Linked DNA regions of Daphnia pulex. The protein of the gene in region 3 purifies or fractionates together with the protein of the main gene of each other region. This does not show direct contact. Links are inferred from orthologs where the notes say so. Each region holds a gene or a part of one and is shown on either strand. Other genes may lie near its edges. The genes, in order: poly [ADP-ribose] polymerase 1-like, DNA repair protein XRCC1-like and E3 ubiquitin-protein ligase rnf146-like.

Evidence for each region.
Region 1: the proteins of E3 ubiquitin-protein ligase rnf146-like (region 3) and poly [ADP-ribose] polymerase 1-like purify together in Homo sapiens (affinity purification with mass spectrometry; 4 studies listed by BioGRID and IntAct, counting the BioPlex papers as one, with this or other methods). This does not show direct contact. The link is inferred for Daphnia pulex from reciprocal best matches to the Homo sapiens genes RNF146 and PARP1.
Region 2: the proteins of E3 ubiquitin-protein ligase rnf146-like (region 3) and DNA repair protein XRCC1-like purify together in Homo sapiens (co-immunoprecipitation; 3 studies listed by BioGRID and IntAct, with this or other methods). This does not show direct contact. The link is inferred for Daphnia pulex from reciprocal best matches to the Homo sapiens genes RNF146 and XRCC1.

What each region holds. Positions count from the first base shown.
Region 1 is NC_060024.1:8,491,955-8,498,577, forward strand, and holds the start of poly [ADP-ribose] polymerase 1-like, read left to right. Parts: upstream 1-2,306; 5' UTR 2,307-2,464; intron 2,465-2,547; 5' UTR 2,548-2,580; coding exon 2,581-2,694; intron 2,695-2,759; coding exon 2,760-2,904; intron 2,905-2,971; coding exon 2,972-3,123; intron 3,124-3,194; coding exon 3,195-3,406; intron 3,407-3,463; coding exon 3,464-3,677; intron 3,678-3,770; coding exon 3,771-3,853; intron 3,854-3,924; coding exon 3,925-4,050; intron 4,051-4,108; coding exon 4,109-4,207; intron 4,208-4,271; coding exon 4,272-4,432; intron 4,433-4,501; coding exon 4,502-4,659; intron 4,660-4,722; coding exon 4,723-4,789; intron 4,790-5,047; coding exon 5,048-5,255; intron 5,256-5,335; coding exon 5,336-5,534; intron 5,535-5,613; coding exon 5,614-5,946; intron 5,947-6,007; coding exon 6,008-6,136; intron 6,137-6,203; coding exon 6,204-6,302; intron 6,303-6,369; coding exon 6,370-6,513; intron 6,514-6,598; coding exon 6,599-6,611; intron 6,612-6,623. Other genes in the region: U3 small nucleolar RNA-associated protein 18 homolog, read right to left, coding at 1-133, 203-669; uncharacterized protein CG1161-like, read right to left, coding at 1,243-1,386, 1,449-1,574, 1,638-1,868, 1,951-2,016. UniProt on the Homo sapiens protein: Poly-ADP-ribosyltransferase that mediates poly-ADP-ribosylation of proteins and plays a key role in DNA repair.
Region 2 is NC_060028.1:2,113,824-2,120,496, reverse strand, and holds DNA repair protein XRCC1-like, read right to left. Parts: upstream 4,118-6,673; 5' UTR 3,998-4,117; coding exon 3,947-3,997; intron 3,666-3,946; coding exon 3,468-3,665; intron 3,407-3,467; coding exon 3,174-3,406; intron 3,105-3,173; coding exon 2,968-3,104; intron 2,908-2,967; coding exon 2,507-2,907; intron 2,435-2,506; coding exon 2,259-2,434; intron 2,190-2,258; coding exon 2,076-2,189; intron 2,007-2,075; coding exon 1,740-2,006; intron 1,675-1,739; coding exon 1,537-1,674; intron 1,474-1,536; coding exon 1,398-1,473; exon of another isoform or gene 1,325-1,397; coding exon 1,211-1,324; 3' UTR 1,186-1,210; downstream 1-1,185. Other genes in the region: acid phosphatase type 7-like, read left to right, coding at 39-666, 727-898, 967-1,152. UniProt on the Homo sapiens protein: Scaffold protein involved in DNA single-strand break repair by mediating the assembly of DNA break repair protein complexes. Negatively regulates ADP-ribosyltransferase activity of PARP1 during base-excision repair in order to prevent excessive PARP1 activity.
Region 3 is NC_060018.1:1,339,508-1,345,892, reverse strand, and holds E3 ubiquitin-protein ligase rnf146-like, read right to left. Parts: upstream 3,532-6,385; 5' UTR 3,438-3,531; intron 3,377-3,437; 5' UTR 3,339-3,376; intron 3,024-3,338; 5' UTR 3,018-3,023; coding exon 2,570-3,017; intron 2,046-2,569; coding exon 1,366-2,045; 3' UTR 1,109-1,365; downstream 1-1,108. Other genes in the region: kelch domain-containing protein 4-like, read right to left, coding at 1-215, 277-450, 512-622; serine/arginine repetitive matrix protein 2-like, read right to left, coding at 4,425-5,826, 5,903-6,303, 6,372-6,385. UniProt on the Homo sapiens protein: E3 ubiquitin-protein ligase that specifically binds poly-ADP-ribosylated (PARsylated) proteins and mediates their ubiquitination and subsequent degradation. May regulate many important biological processes, such as cell survival and DNA damage response.

The DNA.
Region 1 (6,623 bases), on a different chromosome or scaffold from region 3:
TTGAGCCCATTTAGGAGTAACCTGACCATGAATAGATGCAAACCTTTTCTCCAGGACCTGTTTGTATACAGTTTCTGAAGTGGCCTTTTCACCAACCAGTCCCTTTTCTTTTTGAAACTGTACATTTTTACACCTATTAGAATACAAATAAATCAATATAAAATGACAAACAATTATTTAAATAAATAGTGTGATATCTTACTTTAAATCTTCATCATCTTCATCAACCCAGACTGCTTGCCTTCCTGCTGTTGAACTTAAACCTAGATTTTTACCATAGACATCTTCTGGAAGGGAATCTTTCGCTTCACTAGATGCTTTGTTGGAGATTTGTTTTCTCAATTTTTTTTTTGAAGCAGAACTTTTGCTCGTATCTTTTTTAGACTGGGGTTCTTGTTCCAGTTTCTTAAACAATTCCCCAAATAGCAACTCTTCCAGTCTCTTTTCTTCTCTTTCCCTATAGTCAATGCCCAAGACTTGAGGTTTGGATTGTTTCAACTTCTTACTTTTTGGCTCCTCATGAAGATCTTCATTTTCATCAACATTTGGTAAATCATATCCATCCAGGGCTCCAAGATCCAACTGAAACTCTGTAGACTCAACTTTTAGTTGCTCGTCATTCTTTGCTGGTTTCGGTTTTGAACTTTTTTTCTTAAATGTGCGTCCCATCTTAAGTGTTATTTCTTCGTTTGTTGCACCTTAATAAACACGTGCTTGATGGCTTGGGTGCTTCTAAACTTGTAATTTTCAATTTGAACTAAATTCGTCTGCAACAGTCATTCCAAACTCCACATCCACTTTATCTGAAATAGGTAAATAGTGGGAGCAAATCCCAAGTTGGCTAGACTGGACAAGACTGGACTCGCCAGGGACTCGCAGGCTAATGAAGACTAATGAAGTAATTGGTTAGCGAATTAACCATAAAAATAATGAGGTAATATGATTTATTACTTTTGTATATTATCAAATAGACACCAACGAAAATTTCTTCTGAATCTTGATTTTATGACTTGTCCGGCTGCATTCTAGTTTCGCGCATGATTAGTAGGCCTACAGCAACCTACTAATGTATCCTACCAAGTTACATTCCCTCTGATATTTTTCAATGAAAAAAGAATCTTAAACTCTACGATATGAGACTTTAATTTTTTTATTTCCGTTGGTGAATGAAATATTTGAAATAAGAATAAGAATAAACGCGCAAACATCTACAGATCATAGAATTGGAATTTAGAAAAGTGATTAGTTAAGAATAGTGTGTCGATCATAAATATGTCGACGTTGTTCTTGAACAGTTTTCTTCCACTTATCAGTAGTTTGGCCAACACGGTTGAGCACACCTGCTCCACTTGCCCTTAAAGGTTGAGAATGGGTTTCACTTTCATCCTGTAGGATAAATTAGTTAAAAAGATGATTGAAGGAAGAAAAGGGAGAAATTTATAGAATACCTCTTCATTATTATGTTCTTGATATTGTGTAGTGGTTTTCTTGTTGAGAAGGGGATCAAGACAAACAAGAAACAGCATGTATATGACTAGTAGAGATATTATCCAGATAACAATAATTACAACAACCTGAAATTTAAAAAAATTTATATTAGAATAGTCTACAATACATTATGTCAACAGTTTTTTTGCCTTGATTGTTGTTGTGTTCCTGCTTTCGTACTTGCATTCACATCGTGGACAAAATTCTTTTTCCTTTCCTTTGATATCATCCCCTACCCTTGGGAGCACAACATTTGTACAATCACATTTGTTAGGTGGAACATTTTCAATGTAAAGTTTTCTATGTGACTGAGTTCCGTTTACTACGGCGGTATCTGGACAAATGCACTTGCATCTGACATCCTCATACTGTGCATTCACCTATTAGGACAAAAACAAACAAAACCAAAATCATTAAATTTCTAAGCAATGTTTTCTTAATAGTAAACATAAAAATCAATACATCACTGATGAATGAGAAGATGAAAAGGACGAAAAAAGAAAGAAAGAAACTCTTTCGAAGTGTCATAATTGCAGCAAAATCCGATACTGATTTGTCGGAAACAAAACAGCTGACAGACTGTCGACCACAGCTTGTGGCGCCAACTGGTTTGCTATTTAAAAAAAAAAAGAAACATTGTTTTTGTTCAAAGAGGAAATGGGTCGTTAAACATGTATTACAGCAATAAAAATTTAAACGTTACTGTGGAATTGAAATTTAATTACTTATTCTTTTTAGTTCTAAATAAACTTTTCTCCATTTTCGCCACTTAGGAGCCCCCATCTGACAACACTGTTTTGTTCCTAGCGCGCCATCTCGAAATTCTACTGTTACCTAAAAACGTGCCCAACTCTGTCGGCTGCGAAGTGCGAACTGCGAAGTTTGGAGGACGTTGTACTCGAAGTAGTGGAAAAGATTGTGTTAAAAGAATCAAGAATTCAAACTATCTGAGTGCACTGGAAATTGGAATATATAGGTATGGCCCATTTCAATCTCATTTAAAATTATGAACTGCTAATGCTAATTGTGTTTTTTTTTGTGATTTTTCCGAAATCCCAGAAATCGTGGGACGTTCATTTTCAGAAGAAAACGATGGCGGATGATTTACCTTTTCGAGCAGAATATGCAAAGACGGGTCGAGCTAGTTGCAAGAAATGCAAAGAAAACATTCCTCAAGGCACTCTACGACTTGCTGTAATCTTTCAGGTAACATTTTATTTTTTATTGTTTGGTTCTGGACTTTGTACACTAGTACAGTATTGTTGTTTTAGGCTGCCAAATTTGATGGGAAAATGGTTTCGTGGTACCACTTTGATTGCTTTTTTGAAAGGCAACGGCCCAAATCAGCTGGTGACATTGAACATTTTGATCAATTGCGCTGGGAAGATCAAGAGAAAATTAATCAGATGCTCAAAAGTAAAACATTACTAATATTGCTATACATTGTATTTAGTTGATTTCTAACTATTTCCTTTTTCCAAAGAAATCAGTGAAGGTGGGATTGCTGAACCAAGTAAAAAAGGAAAAGGCAAGGGGAAAACAGCTAAAGTTGCTGAACCCTTTTCTGATTTTCTAATTGAGTATGCAAAATCTGGGAGAGCTGCATGTCGAGGCTGCTTAGAAAAAATTGCAAAAGTATTATAATCATTAAGTGCAAGTTCTAAAACGATCCATGTTCAAACATGTCTATAATGTTCAAATTGTAGGATGAATTGAGGATATCAAAGAAAGGATACGACACCAAAGGAGGCATGAGACATGGACAAATGTTGGATATGTGGTACCACGTCAAATGTTTTAAAGAGCGACGAGAAGAATTAGAATTTGTTAGCGGAGTGGATACAATCCCTGGATTTAAAGATCTAACTGCCGACGACAAAAAAGTTCTCTCAAAAGAACTCCCTGCTCTTTCCGCTAAGTATTGACAAGAATCGAAATTTGGAAAATCATGTATTATAACGGTTTCTTTTTTCAGCAAACGAAAAGTTGACGGGGATGCTGTCGACGGACCTTCGGATGCAAAGAAGATAAAGAAAGAAGAAAAAGAAAATGAACAGCTCAAGGAAGAGATCAAGAAGCAAAATAAAATTCAGTTTAAATACAGAGACCAGTTGGAAACTCTGACAAAACAAGAACTCCAGATTCTGCTGGAATACAACGATCAGCAAATTCCTTCTGGAACATCTGAAGTACTTGCACTTTTTATTAATATTTTTATTTTCTTCTGAGTGTTAATCAATATGTCGCATAGTTAAACTATATGCAGCTATTTATCTTTTTAGATGTTGGACCTTCTTGCCGATGTAATGGCGTTTGGAGCTTTGCTTCCATGCAATGAATGCAAAAGTGGACAGTTTTTCTACAAGTGATTAAAATAATAGAAATTTCAAGTCGGTAAGCCTTACCTATATAGATTTACTTCTTCTTCTACAACAGGAGTGGCATGGGTTATCAATGCTCTGGAAACATGAGTGGCTGGACGAAGTGCCCCAACTCGACAACAACTCCCGAAAGGAAACCATTCAAAGTTCCATCGGACCTCTCGGAAAATTACTCATTTTTGTAATAAGGCTGTTGTTGCCATACATTAAGTTACTTTCTAAACTTCATTCTTCTATAGGAAAAAGTACAAATATGTTCCCGGACAGAGGGTAATCCCAGCGCTAACTCGCACTATTCGTATGAATCCAACCGAAGAAGTGAACGTGAAAAAAGAAAAGTAGCTATTTACTCAACTAGATAACGTGCTAGTTCTGTCTATTAATGTTTTCTTTTTCTTTTAGATCCGATTCGAAACGCCCACCCACACTAGAAGGCTTGAAATTCATTCTTGATTCCAAGCTTGAAAAGTCTAAAGAAAAAGTCGAAGCTGAAATAAAAAAATTACTAGGTTCTGTAGGTTCGCGCGTTACCGAAAAAATTGCAGCCGTAATTTCTACGAAAGGTTAGAAATTTGAGTGGGTAGTTTCTCTTATGAGATTAAGCCTTTATATGTGGTATTACTGTTTTACAGACAATTTAAAAGAAAAGGATTCAAAGTTGAAGAAAGCGTCTGAACTCGGTATTCATGTTGTAGACCTTAGCTTTTTGGATGCAATCAAAGCAAGCACTGGCGAATCTGCCTCATCCATTATAACGAAGAAAAACATCGCACCATGGGATTGCCACAGTGTAAATTTTTTTTCTTTTATTGCCCTAATTTTTGAGATTTTTTAAAAACTGTAATAAATCTAGATCGAGAAGCGTCTTGGTTTGGACGAGTCGGGTGCCACGAAATCTTCTGGAAAATCGAAAGGCTCAGGTTGGTTGGACTGTTTATTACTTTTAATGTTTCCCAGTAAAAACTGTAGTATAAGTATGGGGGAGTCATACGCTTTAAACTTGCAAGTAAATCAAGTTCAAGGTCACAACTCAATCCTAAATTAATTGAGTCGTCTGATGACTATGAAGGGATCCAAGTCTGCCCTCATAGACAGATACGCGACTAACATATTTGTTGATTTATTTCACGCTAAAAACGAAGCTGAATCTCGTAACTAAATTGTGTTTTCGTTTGCAGAAAAATCTGGTTCAGGCATGTCCGATAAACTGAAGCTGAAACTTAAAGGAGGAGGAGTAGTTGATCCCGATTCTGGTTTGGAAGATAAAGCACATGTCCTGAAGACGAAAAATGGTCTGTACAGCGTTGTACTTGGGATCGTTGACATTCAAGGTGGAAGAAATTCTTACTACAAGCTTCAAATTCTTGAACACGACAAAGGAAACAAGTAAATTGGCTTCGCTTCCCCCAGTGGCAATTGTAGATAACAACTATAATTTTTTTTTTTTTTTTTTTTTAATTCGACAGGTGGCATGTATTCCGTGCTTGGGGTCGAGTTGGTACAACGATTGGAGATACCAAGCTAACTAAGATGGATACCAAACAAGAAGCAATAGAGGATTTTGTTGCTCTGTACGAGGAGAAAACTGGTAACCTTTGGGAAAATCGAGATAATTTTGAGAAGCAGCCCGGAAAACTCTACCCTCTAGATATTGACTACGGAGAGGTATTTTCTATTTTTCTTGTGTCTTTTTGAAATTACGTAATGACATCAATTTTTTAAAATGTGATTTCCACACTTTCAGTCAGAAATAGATTCACGTATGACGATCGCCAATTCGACATCGAAGCTTCACCGATCTATTCAAGAATTGGTCTGCATGTTATTTGATGTCGAAGCTATGAAACGGACGATGGTAGAATTTGAATTAGATCTAACCAAGATGCCTCTTGGTAAACTGAGCAAGAAACAGCTAGAAAAGGCGTACGGGATTTTAAGTCAGGCTCAGGAAATGTTGGATTCGAAAGATGTATCGAAGACTAAATTCCTCGATATCTCGAATCAGTTCTACACACTCATTCCGCACGACTTTGGAAGAAAAACTCCGCCTGTTCTTAGCGATAACGAAATCATTAAGGTAATGGATTAACTCATTGTCCTTCCAGCATGATGTAGTATAATCTCGATTTGTTTTCTAGTCTAAACTGGAGATGCTTGAGAGCTTGATGGAAATCGAGGTGGCCTTCAGCTTGCTGAAAGCCGGCGATGCTGTTAAGGATAAGGATCCCATCGATGCCCACTATGAGAAGCTTAACACTGAAATTGAAGTAACAATATTTATCCCTTTCATGTTTTGTATTACGTATCATTGCTGATTTTTTAAATTATCTCTAGGTTTTGGACAAGTCTTCCGAAGAATTTAGTGTTATTCAAACGTATGCAAAGAATACTCACGCAGCAACTCATACTCAATATACTCTCGAAGTGGAAGAAGTAAGTAGAAGAGTTTAAGTAGTTTCACGCTAGGACTAGCAGTTAACTTTTTCGTTTTCTTTCCCAGGTATTCAAGGTGGTTCGGAAAGGAGAATCGAAAAGATTCCGTCCGTTCTCCAAATTACCCAATCGCAAGCTCTTGTGGCACGGATCTCGTGTTTCCAATATGGCTGGTATCCTATCTCAAGGGTTGCGTATTGCCCCACCTGAGGTAAAATTACATTTATTTGTTATATATTTGACTTTTTTCTTGATTAACCATTAATCCTTTCTTTATTTTGGGTGAATTTTGATAGGCTCCAGTCACTGGTAATTTCTTCT
Region 2 (6,673 bases), on a different chromosome or scaffold from region 3:
TTAGGTTAAGCAGTTTTCAAATGTTTTTCTTTCATTAGTTTATCGATGTGGGAGTCGTCTGGGGTGGTCCAATTTGTTCAGTTTCGTTACGGTGGAAAATTCAACCGACTGGTCCCCAAGACTTGCTGTGTACGGCGATATGGGCTCGGAAAATCCTCAGTCACTTTCGCGCCTGCAAAAAGAGTCGCAAGAAGGGCGCTACGATGCTATATTCCACGTTGGCGATTTCGGATACGATTTGTATGAAGAAGACGGACAACTCGGCGACCGATTTATGCGTCAAATCGAACCGATTGCCGCGTACGTTCCTTACATGACCTCGGTCGGAAATCACGAAGAGAAGTACAACTTCAGCCATTACAAAGCGCGATTCTCTATGCCGGGAAGCGAAAATGGATTAATGTACAGTTTTAACCTTGGACCAGCGCATATTATTTCCATCTCGACCGAATTTTACTATTTCATCAACTACGGTTTTAAGCAGATCGTTTTACAGTACGATTGGCTGATTCGCGATCTAGAAGAGGCCAACGCTCCTGAAAATCTTAGCGTCCGACCGTGGATAATAGTAATGGGCCATCGTCCAATGTATTGCTCAAATACAGATCAAGACGACTGTACAAAGAAAGATACTCTTACTCGGGTCGGGCTCCCTTTGTTTCACTGGTAATCGAATGCGTGCTATCATGTCAAATAATAATTCTAAATAATGTAGTGTTTTTATAGGTTCGCTTTGGAGCCGCTCCTCTACAAGTATGGAGTTGACCTGGCCTTGTGGGCTCACGAGCACTCGTACGAACGACTTTGGCCCATATTCAACCGTACGGTAATGAATGGAAGCTTGGAGCATCCCTATACTAACCCTAAAGCTCCAGTTCACGTGACAACTGGATCAGCGGTAGGAGAGATATGCTGGAAAATATTTAACTTTGCACACCGCATTTATCAAAAATATTAAAATTTCAGGGTTGTCGAGAAGAACGGGATGACTTTATTCCAGAATTACCCTATTGGTCGGCCTTTCGCAGCAACGACTACGGTTATTCCCGATTATTTCTCGCAAACAAAACTCATTTACATTTGGAACAAGTGTCCGATGATCAAAACGGTCTGGTGATTGACGATTTTTGGTTAATCAAAGATCTCGTATAGTTTAACTCCTCATTAGCATAAACGAAGACATCGTTCTGTTTTAAAATACCTTTATTATTCATTTCGTTTGTTGCACCAAGAATTCATCGAGAGCAACTAATTTGTTATTTTTTCTGCATGTCCGTATCCAATCACTTTTGACAATTTTCATGTCTTGGTTTTTCGACAGCGCCTTAAAAATAATGAATAATCCAAGACCCGACTTTAGTAATCTTTTATGAACAGAATAAATAAACTGCATTTACCTTGGCGACTGAATCATCGTCAGGATCGTCGGATATAAAGTGAGAAACCTTTGATTTAATTTTCGGCACTAATTTACTGTTTGAGAAAAATACGTTATTTGTCAAAAAGGAACATAAGAAATTTAATTAATGGTAGTACCCTTGACATTCTTTTATATAGAGCGTTAGGTCCTCTTTCACTTCTTCGGACAAATCTTTGCCCAGATAAAAGTTCAAATTAGCGTAAATGTTTGAATCTTCCAAAGTCTGCTGTTGTTCTTTAATTTTCTTCTTGATCCTATTTCAAACAATTATGTGCGTTAGCCATTATAAATTCGAAAAGAGTGTGTGAGATGAGCCTACATATCGATTTCATCTTCCGTGTCGACTTCGTCAACTTCAGTCGACCCGCCGTAGTCTTCTTCTTCTTCGTCCTTGACGACACTAGTTTTAGGACTCGCCACCACAGTGGTAGGCTTACAACTGGCTGCTACAGTTGGCGATTGGGGTACTACAGTTGCTGCTTTACTGGTTTGGGGTGTAGGGGTCGGACATGTCGGCCCCTGGTCCTCTCCTTCCCAAATTTCTTCTTCGCTTTCTTCTCCTCTGTCATTTTTATCTAAACAATAACTATTTAAAAAGACAAATTATTACAATCCAAGCGATAGAAAAATAAACCACATTGGTAATGATTTTTACCGTCTCCATGGTAATCTTTTTCGTTTGTCGAAACAATCTTGAACCCAATTTTTGGTAACTATTTTGCCTTTACCCTTAACTTCAATGAACTTTGGTGTGTTGTAAAAGGCACATCTATAATCAAATGAATAAAGAATAATAAGCGCATGACTCTACGTCAAAAATTTGTTTTGTAAAATATACATCAAATGCGTACAAGACGCGTTCCATTCCGGTTTATAGGTGGCACCTAAGGCCAGCAGTTTATCTCGCAGTTGACCCCGTAAAGGATTTTGAAAACCACTAAGGACCACCACGACGCCTTCCAATAGGCGATTAAAAGGTTTGGTCGTCCGTTGCTTTTTCGCTAAGCGCTGCGTCTATAGATCGGCATTCAAAAGATGTGATAGTACGACTCATAATTTGAAAGGTTGAATTATAAATGTTTATACGTCAACTGATGGAGAAGGTGGTGGTGTTTTCCTTTTAACTGGTCCTTCAACTCTCTTCGATTCATGAAGGGGGGAATGTCTTGGTTTGCTTTCTTGCATTTTTTTACTCAACGATTTTTTAGCTGGTGGAGTGATGGGCGGCGCAACTGGTCTCGGCCGATCAGATTCCACTTGCTTGCGACTAGGTAATGGCGAATGTTGATCGACTTTGGCAGCAGTAGGTGTTTTAGATACTGTGGGACTTCGAGTCTGCAACGTTTTAAGCTTATCTGTCAATTTGATATCTGGTCTGCTGCCGTCCTTGTTAGGGGAGTGTCTCAAAATGGTCAAGGCCTCTTTCTCACTCTGTGCTAGGGCAGCAGAGGCAAGACTTTGAGATGCAGCACGGATTGCACCAGGCTCTATTTAAATAAAAAAAATCATTATCATGGTATGAAAACAAATTAGACAGCAATAATTACGAGTGCTGGGCGAGGTGCTGATCGACGACTTGAACCGAGAGAACAAACTGCCTTGTTTGATGGGGTCAACAATTGATTCTTCGGACCTAAGTTTAAACATGCCAAGATCTATGCTGTTTGCTGCTTTCACGCTAGCACTAAGGTGATTAAGATTCATTTAATAGGATACATTATTGGTATGACATGTGGCAATATTTGTGGCTTACTTATTGTTGGTTTTATTAGCTGACTCTTCTTCTGGAGCATGAACTGTAAGGAAGGAAATTCCATACTGAAGCTGTTTGTTGAACGGTTGAGTGCAAACAACCCGAACGCGATCCCATTTTTCAGCTTGGGTGGCCTTGTTCAAATCTTGGTGTTTGAAAATCCGTACACGCTGGAGATTTGTTTCGTTTCGACACTCTTGAGGTGTCATAAAAGAGGCTGAATTCAAAAGAACCTAATACATGTGTACAACTTTTACATTAAATAATACAATTATTTTAAAGTGTAATGTCTACCTTGTAGTCTTCATCGGAACAACCACTTCTACCAACTAAAATTTCAATGAATGCAGAACCATGGTTTCCTATGTCAACAGCTGAAATGAAGGATGTTTTCTCTAACTGAAATTCAACCCACGCTTTCTGCTCTCCAGCAGATTTGCACCTCCATTTCCTGTACACTCCATCTTTAATGAGGTTTTCTGTTGGCTGATTCTGTAAAAAAAAAATCTTTATCATTTTCCATAGTGCACAGAGTTGTGCAAATTGTAAGAATCGTTGTGACTATTTTATCTTCTTCTAGTGAAAGTCTTCATCGTTGAAATTAAATAGATTTCTATACTGCCAGTCACAACTATGGAATACTAAGTTCACCAAAATAGCAGTAGAAGTGTCAAGAGTAATTTGTGAAAATCACCCTGGTTCGATAAACCAAACGTCAAAACAACTATCACTTGCGACTTTATACAATGAAAATCACAATTTTGTTAACATACCGGATCTTCGCTACTGAAACTCACAACACGAGTAAATTTTATGGGCGCCATAGACAAAACAACGACGCTGAACAAATGTTAAGAAAATCAAAACTGGAATACAAATTTCAACGACTTTTTAACTTGGCACGTGTATCGTCGGAAGTTGATTTGTCCAATGTTTGCAGCTGCACTATACGTTTTATTCTCTGGCGGCTTTGGGGCTAGAAGACGGCCTGAATAATTTGGAAGATTTCTTATTCTGAGTCGTCGCACCCTGAGCGATTCAGATTTTATTAGAATAATAATTTATTCCCCCATTTTAAAAGTTGTGATCATTCAATTTTCCCTACATTTTATTTTTATTATATATGGAAAGTCGGCTGCTCCTGGGTCCTGTTTAAAAAACCCGCCAACAGAGCGCGTTGGCTTGCAAACGGACATTGTAAAATGCATTCAGCGCGCGTATTCAATATGCATTGAACACAACACCAGATTCAGAATCCAAACAAAAATCGCTGGGTTTTTTTTCTACGCTGGTCTTTTTTAAAAAGGTTAACAGCGTCCTATAGTGGATAATGGCCTATTTTAGGTTATCCTTTTATTTATTATTACTGATGCCTGATGACAAGTCGAAAATAAACCGACAATAACTCATCGACATCAGCAGAGATCAATCTTTTACGACAACAGAAATGAATAAAAATAAGTCTGCAAATAAAATCTACACATTAAACGTTTAAGTCAATTTCAATTCCAACTGGAAATATATACGTTCTGGCGGTTCAATGTTTAAACTACCAAATTGATTAATGTCCACTAAATTTATTATTTTCTTTTCTCTTAACCATTCATGATGCTGGAGAGAAGGGGGAGGGATGTCATCGATTTTAGCTCATTTAATTTCTATTACGGCTTAGCTGGCGCATTAATTTATCAACGTGGTACTCCGACAACGAAGTTTATATTACAAGGACAACGTCAACAGCCAGAGTGCAAAGCATTTTGTGCAAGTGATATTTTTAATTTGTTTTTTTTTCTAATTCGACCGTTTCTCGCTCCTTGGATACCGAAAGAAAAGCCGAGGAGAAGAAAACCATATTACGTCTCGCCTTTATTAATAGGTGATTCCCCAGAAAAAACAAAAAAAATAAAACAGCCACAGCATCGCCCAGTATCAACTGGAACATTTTCCGGCGTTAGTAGTATTGACACCTCCACGCTCTTTTCCTCCCTTCTTTATATTGTATTTACAAGGCCCACGCAGCAGCAAGCAACCCAGCTCTTTCCAAGGATGAACATGGCTACATTATATATATAGTATAGGCTTTTAATTTCTCCTATATATGTCTTATTTCGCTATACAGCCAAAGAATCGAGGTTGCGCACAGAGAATATTAAGGAATGTATTTTTTAGATTTCCCTTCCGAAAAAACTTTTCTTTTAACTCTCCTCGATCCTGCTGACTACATGTATAAATACACAGGCTATATTATATAAACTGCACTCACTGCAGGCATATACACACACATTTCATGTACAATATATATGTATTAGGCTTCCGGCAGCTTTGTATACCTATGTACGAGCCACTTCAATTTCTTATAGTCTCTTTCTATTTCATTCTCCATTCTATTTTGTTTCCTCTTGTATTATTCCTAAGATTCCCCCCCCCCAAAATACAACAAAGACACAATCAGCAGCACCTACCGTCTATATAGGCTATATGCATGGTGTATAGTCTAAAACTTTGTTCATCGTTGCTTGGTGTCGATAAATATCCCGGCAATCTATCTAATATTCTATGTGGGGCTTCGTTGTCATACAAAGTAAAATGATGAAGAGATCTCTAGATATTATGCTCACGCGTCTATAATATATATCCCATCTCTCTTTTTCCAACCCATTGAGACTCTGTGTGTGTCTAGAGTTTTCCTTGTCCCAGCATGAATATAGACAGTATATATAGACCATGAATAGGGCGCTTTAATGAGCTTCTGCTACAAGCACTGTCAACTATACTTCTCTTACCAGAAATGCACCGCGCCTTTATGTCGGTGATAATATACAGTCTCAAAAGTATTGTTTTGGTACTATACGTTCAAAGTATCATCAGACGACACACTATACAAGATACTTGTTTATTATACGTCTGCAGGGGGGAAAATACGTCGAGGCTTTGCTCGAACGAAACTTATTGGTAGACGAATCTGAACTTTCCCAGCAGCACAGAGGCGCTTTCTTGCACTCAGCAAAGATCTATATAAGAAAGTGGCATGATATAACATGAACTTATACAAGCACCGTATGTATATATATGTAAATACGGCTATATAGCTATATAACTGAATGTTCGTATACTAGATTGGAAAAGTTTGGTTTTTTTTATTTAGGTTTGGCAAAAGTGCCATTTTATATACTTTCAAATCGCTCGAGGCCGCACAGCATGCATGTGCGCCGCGGTGCTCAACAAATCATTTCATTCCCTTTATATTATATTTCTATATAATTATATGTTCGTGGCATTTTATTTACGTCGTGCTATACATAATTATCTAATCTTCTTTACTATTAAAAAGAGACTGTCGTGTGTAGGCTATAATTAATTGTCCCATTTCACGCAACACATAGCAGGTTCATGTGTGGCTGTATAACACTCGTTTTAATATGCGCGTGGTGCGCAACACTTATAGCGAACGCGAATAAACTTTCGGGGTAAAACACAGGATGTAATGTTGTGTTAATATC
Region 3 (6,385 bases):
GTTTTTAAATAAAAGACCCACAAGTCTTTATAATGGTAGAATTGGGACTGTGAAGGAGAAGCATATTCTCCTCCAAATATCCACAACTGCCCTCCTTCCCCTGCTGTCAAAACTGCCTGATGGGCACAGCGTGGTGGTGCAGCTCCTGGAGCTTGTATCTTCAACCATGTTTTCTTCTTTAAGTTGTAAAGAACTAGATCACCAAAACAATAGGTCTACAAGAATGAAGATGAAATCAGTTAGTATTACAAAATCTATCATTATTTTATTTTCAACCTTTTGTCCATTGAAATATTCTCCTCCGAACATGACAATTTCATCTTTTTCAAAATGAGCATTTAAAGAAAAATTTGCTCTGCGACTAGGCCCATCTTTGAGCAAATCTTCAACAATAGCATTTTTCTTTCGATCTGCTTCTTCAAGTTCTTTTATAACTTGCTCCAAGTCTTCCTAGAAATAAAAAAATATATCATCAAAACATTTAATTCAAAGGGCTGTGAGCACATTATACCTCTCCTTTAGCAGCTAATTCTTTTTTTAACTTGGTAGTTTGTTTCTTTAAAGTTTTTGCAATCGTTTTCTCAGCTCCTTTACCTTTTTTAGATTTATCTTTTTTACCCATGATTATAATATTATAACAGCTACCTATAAAAACAATTTCTTGATTTAGTAAGAATGTAAAGAGCGAACTCGGTAAATGTCAACACAAGAATTAATTCTTGAAACTTTGACAACTTGAAACGAACACGTTTTCATAAATCGTCTGCTCTTCAGCCATGCTTTAGAGAAGTTCTTTGTTGCCAAATATCTCTACAACAAAAAACGACAGGAAATTAAAAAATTAAAAATTCGCGTTCGACCGTTCGTGGCATTCGAACCTATTTTACCATTTAAAAAAAAGGGAAGATATTTTGGATAGGTATCCGACCAAGATCCGACTTGAGTACACGCTATTACTTTTTACTTCGTGACTGCGCCTGCGGACATTTTTTCTCTGATGGTTTTATCAAATGATAAAATATCACAATGAAATTTCGTCTCGCTACAAATCCCATTCATTATAAAAGGCTGAAGGGATAAACTTAATATAAAACATGACTTATTAAAGTTATGAGGCAAAAAATTTATTTCAAAAATGTAGTCCACTCTACAATATATTTGCGAATGGAAATCAAATAGAGAATCAAGAGTTTTCACTCTCTAATCTAATCAAAATCCAATCTAAAATACAACACACGAGTTGGAGGTTGAGGGGATTACATTTTCTCGGTCGCCATGACCCAAGAATGAATAAGGCAGAAAGATCTTCTTGATTCAATTACAATTTCAAGGTAATTCTGAAAAGAGTAAGACAGATTTACGATACTAACTAATGATCACCTCTCCTTCTTCGTCATCAGAAGAGCTGTCTTCACTTGGCCACAAGTCGTCGTGAGTATCGTCGTGTATAACGCTAGTTTCTTCATCCATATTATAATAGATGACCATGTTATCTAATCTGGAGAGCGGTGGAGTGAACCTATCTCCGTCATGGAGTCTTAGACGTTCGATTTCTTCAACAGCTCGTCGGAGACGACGTCTTTCCCGCTCCTGCCAACGAGATTCACTGGGCAATGTTTGAGCTACAGAGTCTTGATTAGAAATCGTTTCCGGAGCTGGAGACGGAGGACTACGCGGCGTTTGAGGGGTCTGAGGTGTTTGAGGAGTGTTGGAAGGAGCTTGGGGTGTTTGGCTAGGAGATAAACAGTTGGAAGTGAGAGCTGCTCTGCTGGCAGCCACTGAAAGAAGATCTAAAGAAGCAGCTTGACCATTTTCAGTTTCGTCACTCTGTTCCAGCCGCAACCCAGCAACTCCTTTCTTTGGTATTGAGGCAAGATCGCGTTTAATGCGTCGACGTCGCGAAGGCTCCGTCTTCCTGGATTGAAACATCTGATCGAAATCGATCGTGTAAAGAAATCCAGCAATCAGCAACTCGCAAATACGCTGAGAACGCTTATAGGCACATTCCATCTCGAAACTGGTTCGTTCGTCATACGCCCACCAACCTAAAACGAAGAAAACAAAAAAACAAACAAATGAAGCATTCAAAATGTGCTCGTTTTGTTTGAAAGCCATACAAAATGTTGTATTTAGTTAACGTTTTGTGCTTACATAAAGAGAATTTTGATCGAGTACGAAATTACATGTATATTCACATTTCTTTATTATTTTCATTATTATTTTGTTTGTTTGTTCTTAATTTTATTGTTATTTGAAAGATTTCACAAACGAATTCCTGCAACACCGAGTATGGGAAAAGATGCAGCACTTCTTTTTATTTTGCGTATTCTTCCCGCTCTATGTTTAGGAAATTGAATAAGTTGCTGAAAATCGATAACATAACTGGCTCCTGCAATGACCATTTCAAACGTTCTTTCCCCACGTTTGTAATTCTGCTCGAGATCAACAGCGGTGCGGTCGTCGTACTGCCACCAGCCTTAAAGATCCGTAAGGAATGAAATGTCAAAATCTACACAGTCTAAAAGCTGGACCACTCAAAAATATGTTGATAGAGAAAAAGATTAATTACCGTTTCTCCCTTCATAAAACCATTGGTATCCATCTTCTAAAGTGGATTCTTTTTCCAGCTGAGTCCGGTCAAGTAATTGTGGGTGAATAAGGAAATCGCTGGGAATTTCTTGTCGACACATGGCGCATCTTTTCGACTGGAAAGCCACGCCTTTCACGCAAAGATAGCAGAAGATATGTGAACAAGGCAGCTTCACTGGATGAATGCATGTTTGGAGGCATACAGCACATTCTATCACAGTACTGCTATTTTCTCCTTTGTCAACTGGAGAATCTTCTGCCTTGCTACTTGCACTGCAATCTGTTTGTTTCAGTCCTGAGGACAGGACAGAATTATTTGACAAATCTTCTCTGCTACTCTGTAATGAGGCATTTCGGCTGGTCGCTCTTGAGCCTCTTACATTCATCCTTGAGCATTGATCTCCAGAAGTGGTCCCCGACTCAGACATGATAATCTACCAAGAAAGAATAAATATTTATTTTAAAATATATGTTTAGCTTAGGGTAAGTATATATCTAATTATAATAAATTTTCTTAATAACTGGTTAAACTTTCAAGTACCCCTATGAAAGAGTGCACATCAAAAGACTTAAAACAGATTGTAAATCCCTTTGAGTTTAAGTAATACTACTAAGTTTAGTTAAACATATTGTTAGTAACAATCACGTATATTCGCCCAATATTTAACATTTATAATCTGCAAAGAGAAAGTATGAGACAAAAGGATTCAAGAAATGCTTTCCAACCGAGTTTAGAAATATTGCTTTACCTTGTTTTATATCGGGAGTAAGTGGGCAAAAGTAGACTCTATAATTAACAATTATTTTTATATTATACCACTCGGTTTTTATAAGAGTAAGAAGTTCACCAATTAAAACGACCACGACGTGTAAACTTGTGCAGCCATCTTGTCAGTCAGAGTAGTGTTGTTGTAAACACTAAACAGTCGAAGTAAAGGATGGAATGCGCAATATAAGTCTTCGGCGTTGCCAAGTATTCCGAAATGAGAACTCTCCATTTCTCCGAAAGAATTTTTGGTGCGTAATCGAAAAGGCATCCGAAATTAAAGACTGGTTAAGCCGTCCAGCATTCCCCCCACACATCGGAGTGCCAAAAAAAAATGTATAAATAGATACGAGCATAATATCGCTTTAATAGTTTGTATAATATAAAGACAAAATGCTCGACACGTCACATAAATCATTCGTGGGAGGGTTAGGGGGATTGGAAAGATTCAACAATACATCGAAATGTTTACGAGACACGAGACACAACAGAGACGCGCGCCGCATAGAGAGAAATCGAAGAGGGTAGAACTGAAAAACTGAAATAAATAGAACCTCATGAGAAAAAAAAAACAAAAGAAAATACATTCAAGGCAGAGGACGAAAATGTACAGCAAAGGTCCACTAATATGCCGTAATATCTCAATACAAAATAGACAGATGCTTCTTCGTGTTTTCATTTTTAATCGAACAGAAATTCCAGAATGGTAAAAAAGGAAAGAAAAGAATGAGAAGAGAGGGGTCTACAAAAAATTCATGTCTACACCAGTCGATTTTTTCATGTAGTCAGATCTAACGCGCATGAGAGGAAATAGGGCAGGAAGATTGGCATGTGTGACGAAGAGTGAGCGGAAAAAACGTTTGCACCGAAAGAAATGAGGTTCATTACGCCACTCGTTCGTCGAATCAAACACTGGAATTCCTTCACACTATAAAGAAAAGAGAAGCGATGGCAAGACGCAGGGGAGAGCGCATTGAATTTTTGTGTGAGAAAGAAAGAAAGAGGAAACCGATGATGATGATCGTCTTTTTTTATCTTTTAGTACGAGTACACTGCACTTGTGCTATTGCTACCGCGATTGGGGGTCGTCTTTGCGAGGATACGGATCCATCGGATTAAAGGGCGCTAAGCCGGAGGAAGGATGCGGCGACGTCAAATCCATTAAAGGACGACCCACACCGGATGGAGGCGTACTATTGGAGGGCGGTCGGGCGCCTCCCATAGAAGACCCGTGGTGCGGAGGGAGCAAGTGATGCGGATTCATCATGTGAGGAGATGGTGACGGCATTGGATATGGTGACAACCCTAGGCCGGCCGGCATGAGACCCATGTGAGTCCGCCCAAGCGAAGCCAGCGCCGACGAACCCGGGAGTGATGTCGGTGGTTGTCCCGATGGCGGTGGAGTCCGTTTACCACCAGAAGTCAACAGCGATTGAGGCAACATTGACAAGGAGCTCATGCCACTTCCCAATCCGGCTCCTAAAAGTCCACCAGGGCCTAGAGGCGGAAACGGATACGACGTTGAAGTGGGCGGATAGAGAGTCGGGGCTCCACTCATCCCTGGAAGGGATCCAAAGCGATCATTTTGCTGCCCATACGGTCCACCTTGTTGACCTGCCAAGGAATAGGATCCAGCCATAGATGGGTGGCCGAGGTGAGGAGGCAACGATAACCCGTCTCTGTATCGGTCGGGAGGAAGTCCAGGCAATCCATAAGAAGAAGGAGGTGTCCCGTATCCGTGCAGTCCCGGTCCACCTAATGCCAGATGATTGGCTGCCGCACCGTAGTTTCTCAAAAACGATTCGCGATCCATACTCTCCCGCATCGGATCCATCCCACGCAGGACGTCTCTGAAAGGATCGAAGGAACCGTGGCTGTACGCGTGTAACGGCGTGTGCATCCCCATACGGGATCTGTCCAACATGTTGGCGGGCATTTGCATCCCCGGATGGAATGATAACGGCGGAAGATTGCTGGACATGGACTGCGAGGCGTTAGATTTGTTGGACTGATCCGATTTCGAAGATCCACCGTTGGCCGACGTCCGCGAATGTGGATGTAGAGGGGATCGTGAGGCGTGTCTCCTCCTTTCTCGTTCCTTTTCCTCCTCTCTTTTCTTTTCACGCTCTTGTCTTTCACTCCTTTCTCTCTCCTTTTGTCTTTCCTTTTCTCGCTCCCGTTCCCTCTCTCTTTCACGTTCTCTTTCTCTTTCGCGCTCTCGTTCCCGCTCCCGTTCCAGTTCTCGTTCCCGCTCCCTTTCACGTTCTCTTTCACGCTCACGCTCTCGTTCTTCCTTCTTCTGTCTCTCTCTCTCTTTGGCCATCTGATGATGGTTGGACATTGCAGCAGCAGCGCTATGATGAGACGTCGTCGGGGACTGCTCGGATTTCATCGATGACATCGATCCGGCGCTCATCAACGGGGCCAGCCAAGGGGCCGTCATCGAGGACGAGGATGAAGAATGTGGCATTCTAATAAAATCAAAGAAAAAGTATGTCAAAACACCTCAAATTTCTCCAATACTTTTTTTTTCCAGGATCCTATTACCTAGTCCATTGATCGGGTGCCGGACTGTGTCTCACTCCACCAGGTGGCTGCATTGAATGGTGAGAAGGAGGAGGTGTAGGGACGGAAGGAATACGGGGAAGAAAGCCGGCCATGTTGTGATGGGTATAACCAAATGGCGAATTGTGCGAATTGAGCGCGCTGGGCAAGGTATCAAAACCGCCTGTCGACTTTGCATGAGTCTGATGGGGCGGGTGAGGAGGAAGTTGAGGGGGATGAGATGATGGGCCTGGAGGTGGACCTGTAGATATTCCTAAGTTCAATTTAGGCGCCAAACTCATCATCTTTTTCGGATCCAATTGCATATCCCGGGGCTGCCGTTGTTGATTCTGGTGGATCTCCCATGCTATTCGGACGTGCATGGCATTCCACTTGCCAGGTTTCTGTGGCGTAATTGGGAAATACAGGCATGATAATACAACCAAACAACGTGAACTGCGTGATGACATACCTTAGGCGGAAGCG